Linked DNA regions of Saccharomyces cerevisiae S288C. The protein of the gene in region 2 interacts with the protein of the main gene of each other region in a pairwise test. Each region holds a gene or a part of one and is shown on either strand. Other genes may lie near its edges. The genes, in order: GID8 and GID7.

Region 1 (3,823 bases), on a different chromosome or scaffold from region 2:
GATTCGAGTTTACGGGTTTATCGTTATTAATGTTATCAGTACCAATGCCATTATTGGTTTTATTGTAAACTGGTACTTGTTGGAAATGAATATCAGTAGCAACAGGAGCATGCATTTGAGGGTGAATATTATTTAGCTGAAAGTGAGAAATATTGGGCGGCATGTGGGGATCCGGTATGATGCTGACCAGCCGCTGAGGAGCAGAAGGAATTTGGTGTGTATTTCTATAATGTGAGTTGTTGGATATTTGAATATTAACGGCGGGAAGAACAGAATTAATGTTGTTATTTTTTATAGTGTTGTTACTATGGTTGTTGTTATCATTATTGTTGGGATGATGATAGTAGTATGCGTAGTTGTTGTTTGCGCTGTTTATATGGGCATTCGGTCCATTATAATGCTGCAAGGGTAATGGAGAATTTATAGTTACAGTAGAATGCAAAGGATCTACTCTCGGAGCAGAATGGTCAAAAACAAGTTGTGGAGGACCGTATGTGAACCCGGGCAGTGCTTGTGGCTGTGTTTGAGAGAAGGGGTAGATATTGGGGGCTTGCATCTCGATGAAATTTTTTGAGACAAGTCGTAAAAGCCCTTTATTAAAGTGAAAACAAACAATTCACTATGAACGAAAACAATATTAGAGCAAAGGAAATCACTAAAAGTAGATGGAGAAAATAAAAAAACGCCGTGAACGGAAATAGAAGAAATATGAGGGGACGCAAGGAAGTAAAAGGACCAGGAAAGAAAAAATCCTCCTTCAATATATACCAAGATATACAAGAAACTGAAACTCAAAAAATAACTTTTATACAAGATTGCCGACACGAAGAAAGGAAACGATAGCCGAATGTCTTAATGCAATAACAACTGCATTAACAATTAAGCAAATTTAGGAAATTTGCTTATAACCTTATATTTCAAAATAACCGTTGAGTTTTAGCTTTTGCACAATTCCGCGCCGGGCCCCGCGCAGGGAAAATCGCAGCAGCCGGAAAAACCGCCATCCAGCACCTTCAGTTGGGGAAAGCAAAGCAACCGAACGAAACTATATCTGAGATAAGGGCGGTGCAAAAAGAATGTGAAACCACGCTTGAAAAATGAAGTCACGGTTACACTATCTCCAACTCTGCAGGGTACAGTGCTTCTGATCGTGCATCCTTTTGTGGTCTGGACCAGCGTCGACGCGGCGACAGAAGTAGCGATGTTTCGCAGTGATAGACGCGTAGCGGTACAGGCCTGCGGCGGCTGTTGTGCGGTGACGTGCCCATGACTCAACAAAAAAATAAAAATAAGCAAACGGAAAAACCATATTAGTTCCCCTTTCTGCTGCTCCTACTCCTGTGCGTTTTCTCTTGCGCTCCTTTTTTCCCTGTTTTATTTTTTTTGTGTTTTTCGCTCGGCTTGGGTTTGTGTGTACGGCCCTTTTTGGGATCCCGGAGTTTATTTGACTGTTGTCCGGATCCGTTCCGAGTGAATGGTAATCGCTCCATTGTGTTGCTGTTTATCACTATCAGTGTCGATCTCGCTTTCCTGACTCTGCCGGCGCGGTGCCCCGGTTCGTTGCAGGAGACATTTTGATGGTACATCATTTTTCTTGAAGCTAACATGTGTAATTTGGTCATTAAATTGCAAGCAAAGGGGCAGTAGAGACAAATATCAGCCGGATGAAGATATATTTGTGTGTGGTAACAAATAGAAATGACTATATCTACTCTTAGTAACGAGACCACGAAGAGCGGATCTTGCAGCGGCCAAGGCAAGAATGGTGGGAAAGACTTTACGTATGGAAAGAAGTGCTTCACGAAGGAAGAATGGAAGGAGCAGGTGGCCAAGTATTCTGCCATGGGCGAGCTATATGCAAATAAGACAATACATTATCCGCTGAAAATTCAGCCCAACAGCAGTGGCGGCTCGCAGGACGAGGGATTTGCTACCATACAGACCACACCCATAGAGCCCACACTGCCACGGCTTCTGTTGAACTACTTTGTTTCTATGGCATATGAAGACTCGAGCATTAGGATGGCCAAGGAGCTGGGATTTATACGGAACAACAAAGACATTGCGGTTTTCAATGATTTGTACAAGATCAAGGAGCGTTTCCATATCAAACATCTTATTAAGCTGGGGCGTATCAATGAGGCGATGGAGGAGATAAACTCTATCTTCGGGCTGGAGGTGCTGGAAGAGACTTTCAATGCTACGGGAAGTTATACGGGTAGAACTGACAGGCAGCAGCAGCAGCAGCAGCAGCAGTTTGACATAGATGGAGATTTACACTTCAAACTGCTGTTACTGAATTTGATCGAGATGATAAGAAGTCACCATCAACAGGAGAACATCACCAAGGATTCCAACGACTTTATACTCAATCTAATTCAGTATTCTCAAAATAAACTTGCAATAAAGGCTTCGTCAAGTGTCAAAAAGATGCAAGAGTTAGAATTAGCAATGACTCTGCTGCTTTTCCCCTTGTCAGATTCGGCGGACAGCGGCAGCATTAAGCTGCCCAAATCGTTACAAAATCTGTACTCGATATCTCTAAGATCTAAGATAGCAGATCTGGTTAATGAGAAGCTGCTGAAGTTTATTCATCCAAGGATTCAATTTGAGATCAGCAATAATAATTCCAAATTTCCAGATTTGTTAAATTCCGACAAGAAAATAATTACGCAGAACTTCACGGTGTATAACAACAATCTCGTCAATGGTTCAAATGGTACAAAAATAACTCACATTTCGTCTGACCAACCTATCAACGAAAAGATGTCAAGCAACGAGGTCACGGCTGCTGCTAATTCAGTTTGGCTAAATCAAAGGGATGGAAATGTTGGCACAGGTTCAGCGGCGACAACTTTTCATAACTTAGAAAATAAAAATTACTGGAATCAAACTTCTGAATTGCTTTCCTCTTCAAATGGAAAGGAAAAAGGTTTAGAATTCAATAATTACTACTCTTCCGAATTTCCCTATGAACCAAGATTGACGCAGATAATGAAACTGTGGTGTTGGTGCGAAAATCAGCTTCATCACAACCAAATAGGGGTTCCTAGGGTCGAAAACTGACATACATAGTACGTATATATTTATATATGTGTGTGTGCGTGTGCATGTGTGAGTGAGTGTGTGTGTGTGTGTGTGTGTGTGCCTACCTGCATGTATGCATTTAGCAATTGATTTTTCTTTTTTTTTTTTGGAAGCTTTCATAGTATGAATTCGCATTTTATCGTGTTTCCCGTATCAATCTTCAGGAAACATAATTGAACATCATCGATATTCAATGGCAGTAGTTCATCTTTATGATTGTAAATTTTGACACCGTTGGAAATCGTAAACTTTCTTGCCCCTTCACCGCCCTCATTCTTAATTATATCGCGATATATTTCGCAATCTTTAAAGTAGTGGTAAAGTCTCAGCCTCAATACACGCAAGGTAGTACCAAACTCAGGTCTTTTTTCATTTTCATAATCCTCTGGAGAAAATTCAACATGAAATTTTAATGGGGTGGACAGAAGTTCTTTCCCATCTACAATAACATTACATTCGACATCCAATTCTGATACAAACACAGGTTTTGCAAAAAACTTATCGCGATCTTCGAACTCTTCAATAACAATACCGCTTTTCTCGTCTTTGTATTCTTTACCGTGATATTCATCACTCACCAACATCCGATGAAGCTTCAGACTTTCATCGATTCTTCCACGCTCTAGTTCTTCTGATGTGTTCTTTTGTAGAAGACTCATTTCGATCGTTATATACAGTTCGTTAAAAAATGCAAGCGTACCAACCACTATCAAAAAGAGAGTTATCCTACCACTTA
Region 2 (4,735 bases):
CCACAAAGTTTCGGTGGACTTCTAGTCAAACTTTGATGTACATTATCATTTGGGCAAGTTTCATACCATTTTATGGTATTCTTGGATTTTTCTTCAATGCGTTCGGTTTAAAGCATAAGTTTGAAATGTTCTTATTGGCCATTTGGTATGGATTATCACTAGGTGGCCTGTCCGCGGTTTCAAGATCAGTTTTCAGTTTGATTGTACCTCCAGGAAAAGAATCCACGTTTTTTAGTATGTTCAGTATCACAGATAAGGGGTCGTCCATCCTGGGACCCTTCCTTGTTGGACTGCTTACCGATAAAACGCATAATATTCGCTATTCGTTTTATTTCTTCTTTTTGCTTTTGATGCTATCATTGCCTGTGCTAAACTGTTTGGATGTCAAGAGAGGTAGAAGAGAGGCTGAAGAACTCAGTCAAGTTTTACCTGAAAGTGAAAGAAGGTTGGATTAGTTCTTTTTTTTTTTTTGTTACATAAAACTTTGCTTACGTATATATATAAGGTGGAGTATTAATTTCTTGAAATTTTCCAGATTTTTATCTTACCGTCATCACCGCCAGAAGCAAACATTTCTTTATCTGCAGGGTTTGATGCAACTACGTTACAATTTTTCCCCATGGGTTTTGTGGAATTACTCATTACCGTGGAATGACCGGATAAAACAGATACTAGGTTACCTCTAATTCTATCCCAAATGTAAATTTTACCATCTTCTGATCCGCTCATGACAAGCTTATTACCGTAGGCGAAGCAAGATCTGATAATAAAGTGCTGTTGCTTCTGTCCAAAGTACTTTTGTATGAGAATATTTTCTTTATAGTCCCACATTTGTAATTCGTTATCTTGAAGGCTAACTAATACCAAATGTTGAGACTCGGATATTTGTTGCCTATGGAAGCCTTGATGCGTGGTATTTAGCGGTAATGAGATACAAGTCATGTTTTTGCCCACGTCCAATCTTGCGATCCTTGGAATCAGAAAGTTTTTGGGATCCACTGTTTGCTTAGATAGCTCCTCTTTGGAGGGGAACCCACTGAAATCGTAGACATCTATAACGCCCTGGTGGGTCATTAAAAGCACGTATTTATCGTCATAGCTGATTTTCACGTCGTGCACACGTGGAAAGGTTTCGTCGTCCTCCACATATTGCCAGTTACCATTGCTACTTGTTGGTTTGTAAAGGACTTTTGCAGGATCGATTGATTTTCTCCCAGAGATGTTTTCATCGTGGCCCAACGCGATACAAGTCCTGCCTTTTAAGCTAAAAAGTGACTCTTTCGTGGTGAGTGAGTGTACAATAGCTTCTCTGTCGGGCGATCCAACCACCATCCAGCCCGCACGTTCCGCAGTGTGGAAGGCATCGCAGCACCATACTCTTGATTGATTAGAATTCGCGTTTGCCGGCCTCGAGGAAGATGATGCTGATGATTCGGTATCATCTGGGTACGTGGTGGTGTCCAGTTTAAACGAGTCCATGGGCGAGAGCCTGGTAGAAGGGTATAGTAGGAACGAGTCTGTGGCAGACGCATCGGGCAGGGAGGTGGCATTCATGTCGTAAATGGTAACATCTTCGCTGAAAGGGCAAGCAACCAGATACCGGCTATCAGGAGAAAACATGAGGTACAATACGGATTGTGACAAGCTCACGCAAGTCTTATAAATTTTGAAGTCTTGTTCCACATCATAAACAGTAATGAAGTAGCCTCTTGAAGACTCGGAAGTCGCAGAAGCCAAATACTTGCCATTGGGCGAAAATGTCAAAAACCAAATTTCGTCTGTGGTGTCTTGGATAGTCTTCCATTCTTGAAAGGTCACAGTCAGATCGTGTGAGAAGTTATCCTGCAAAAGGTTGATCCGGTGGGGTGGAGAGGAGAAAGAGGCGTCATCATCCGGATCGATGATATTAAAAATGTCTTGTGATTGTTGATACTTGATGGCCTGTTTCAAGAGATGCAAGAGACGACCCTTGGGAACGAGTTCGTTCGGATCGATATATTTGGAGATGGCGTCAATCAGATGGTCTCGCTCGAGGTTCAACTGCGCGGTTAGTTTTGGGTTGGTCAGGTACGTCGACAGTTCTCTCAAGGTCGTTTCCGGATTGAAGATGTTTTCTTCATTTAGGAACTGATCGTTAGACACCAGCAGGGAATCCCATATCTCGATGAAGTTTTTGAGGATTTTGCGCAAATACAGGACGGGCAGTGCAGTGTGAGGGCCCTTGTGAGAGGCGGAATTTGTGACTGGATGGAAGAATTCGAGGAATATTTGTCTATTAACTAGAATCATGATCTCTACGTAATTTCTGAGCGTGGCGATCTCTGCGTCCGAACAAGTAGATGAATTTACAGAGCTCATCAGCTGTTGCAGGTATTGCAGTTGCAGGAGCATGTGGTCGAAAAGTGAAGTCGTGGCGGGCGTCGGCGTGGGAATGAGCAGCCTTTGAAGCCATTCGGACCTTAGCGGAGAGCTATGGGCAAGGGGCAGCGAGCAAACAATCTGCCAATTAATAAGATGGAATTGGCCGGTCTTGATGAGTTTGAAGAAAGTCTGGATGTGGTTAGACTCATTTTGATATCCGCCGCTCTCTAGCAGTAACTGGTTAGCGGCGGAGTCGTAGCCCAGCTCCTTTAGAGTATGTATCAGTAATTTAGTGAGCTGTTTCTTGTCAAAACAACCAACGGAAGAGGGCGAGGCTGTTTCCTCCGTGTCATTGTTCAACACGTATGCGATCTTATTAGTGTGTGACATTTTATTAGTTGAAGTAGTACGCCCCCTTGGAAGTGTTTTTCATATTTGACTTCCAAAAATGATAAAGGAAGACCTAGCAAGGCATTTATTGTTCTTCATTTTCCCTTAAAAACCAAAGGCCCGTTTCCGATGATATTGTTCATTAATGTGAGAAAATCATACATACATACATACGTTCTTATACGGTATTGTATAAGAATGTATGTATATACACTGAAAATATACATATATATATATATATATAAAGGAGAGAAGATGGTAAGTACGGTGGGATACGTACACAAACCAAAAAAATGTAAAAAGATCATGCTACAAGCGCACACAAGGCGGCACCCACTCCGGAACCATCCTTGGCAATCTTCAAGTGCACCTTCCTCTCACCCTCGGCACCCAAGGGTGACAAGGCTAAGGCGTGTCTCAGCATAGATCTGAAACCGGGGTAGTATTCCACAACGGAACCATCACAACCGATCTCGACTTCACCATGATATCTCTTGTTCAAAGCATTTGTCTTGATCAATATCGCGGCAAGCGGCACGGCGGCTAAATACGCAGATCTCCTAGAAATCGCGCGCACCAATTTTTGAATTTGAACACGCTCTGTTGGAGTGGTGGGCAGTCTGAGACTCTGTAATAATGACAACTCTGTTTCACGTAGACCTGTCGAGTCGTCAATTTCAATATGCGACAGCACTTCGGATGACAACTGGAAAGGTGTAGTCAAGTGGCGAGGAAGTTGTTCCTTGGACCTGTACTGTTGCAAAAGCAAGCCTTGCGAGTGCAAGTCCACTAAAATGTTACGCAACACCTCACCCAAGAACATCCCTGAGACACGTTTTTCAAACAAGTGAAATCCCGGGTTCGTTGACAGTTTCTGGTCAATTACGACGTCATACTTAGTAGTAGGCAAGTGCTTGAGCTCATTATCGAAGGACCCCCATTCGACATTGATGATCATGTGTGTCTTACCCTCCTTTATCAACTTGTCACGCAACTCCTGTGGCAACTTCGTGATCTTGTTGATCTCCTCCATATAGCACCCATTGGTACCGGTACCGAAAATACATCCGATGACCGGCTCCGAGATTTCTCCGGACGTCATTGAGTCCGTGTTATCGGACGTGTAGCAATGCGATAGGTACGTTCCGACGGTGTCGTTGGTTAATGCAACAACCTTGATCATAGGCATACCCTGAGCGCTTAATTGCTCCTGGTACAATTGCACGACATCCTTTCCGACGGTGTCCGCGATGCGGAAACCCTTGGTCCAACGGATCAATGTCCCGGAGTTTAGAGAGGTCTGGTCTACAGGGTATGAGAAAGTGAACCCCAGTTTCATGGGCTTGGCGTCTTTACCCTTGGCCAACTCGTCCGGGTGATACTTCTTCATAAAGGCCAGTGTACGACGTGCTAGAAACCCAAACAGGTCGTCAGATGTGACGTTCTCATCGTCTAGCAAATCATCGGGAATCTTGGACTTCATTTGCTCCATGGAGAAAGTATGATCTCCATGCAAGTTAACAGAACATATACGGAAATTGGTACCACCCAGGTCGGCGGCTAGTAAAACACCGCGCTCCGTCCCGTTGGGTGACCCGGTGACGAACGCCGGAATCATAGGAAGACCTTTGTCCGAGGCCAATGTGTGGCCTTCCTTTGGTGGAGCTAGACCTTTTTCCATTTGTTCGATGAAGTAAGCAGTTAATTCGTCCAGCTTCTCGGGGGTAACCTCGAAATCGTCGCAGATCTGGTCCACGGCCTGGATGACCGCTCTCTCAGTGGCTTTGTGTAAGTCGTCGAATGACATCTTGTGTATGATAGAGTTGTATTAGTGGTGGTGTTGTGGTTTACGGAAGCTGAGTTGGGCACTGATGGGGGGGTTGGGGGTTCTGTTGATAGCGGATATTTATATGGGCGCGTTTTCATTAGTGCCCACCGTTTGAGCGTGGTGTGACACCACGCCCAAGATAGGGGGCCCCCTGAA

Evidence for each region.
Region 1: the proteins of GID7 (region 2) and GID8 interact in binary tests that used the Saccharomyces cerevisiae proteins (3 or more experiments, as listed by UniProt).

What each region holds. Positions count from the first base shown.
Region 1 is NC_001145.3:537,932-541,754, reverse strand, and holds GID8 (glucose-induced degradation complex subunit GID8), read left to right. Parts: upstream 1-1,698; coding exon 1,699-3,066; downstream 3,067-3,823. Other genes in the region: GAT2 (Gat2p), read right to left, coding at 1-556; ERG29 (Erg29p), read right to left, coding at 3,204-3,823. UniProt on the Saccharomyces cerevisiae protein: Component of the GID E3 ligase complex recruiting N termini and catalyzing ubiquitination of proteins targeted for degradation.
Region 2 is NC_001135.5:50,661-55,395, reverse strand, and holds GID7 (glucose-induced degradation complex subunit GID7), read right to left. Parts: upstream 2,752-4,735; coding exon 514-2,751; downstream 1-513. Other genes in the region: ATG22 (Atg22p), read left to right, coding at 1-455; GLK1 (glucokinase), read right to left, coding at 3,056-4,558; YCL042W (uncharacterized protein), read right to left, coding at 4,453-4,735.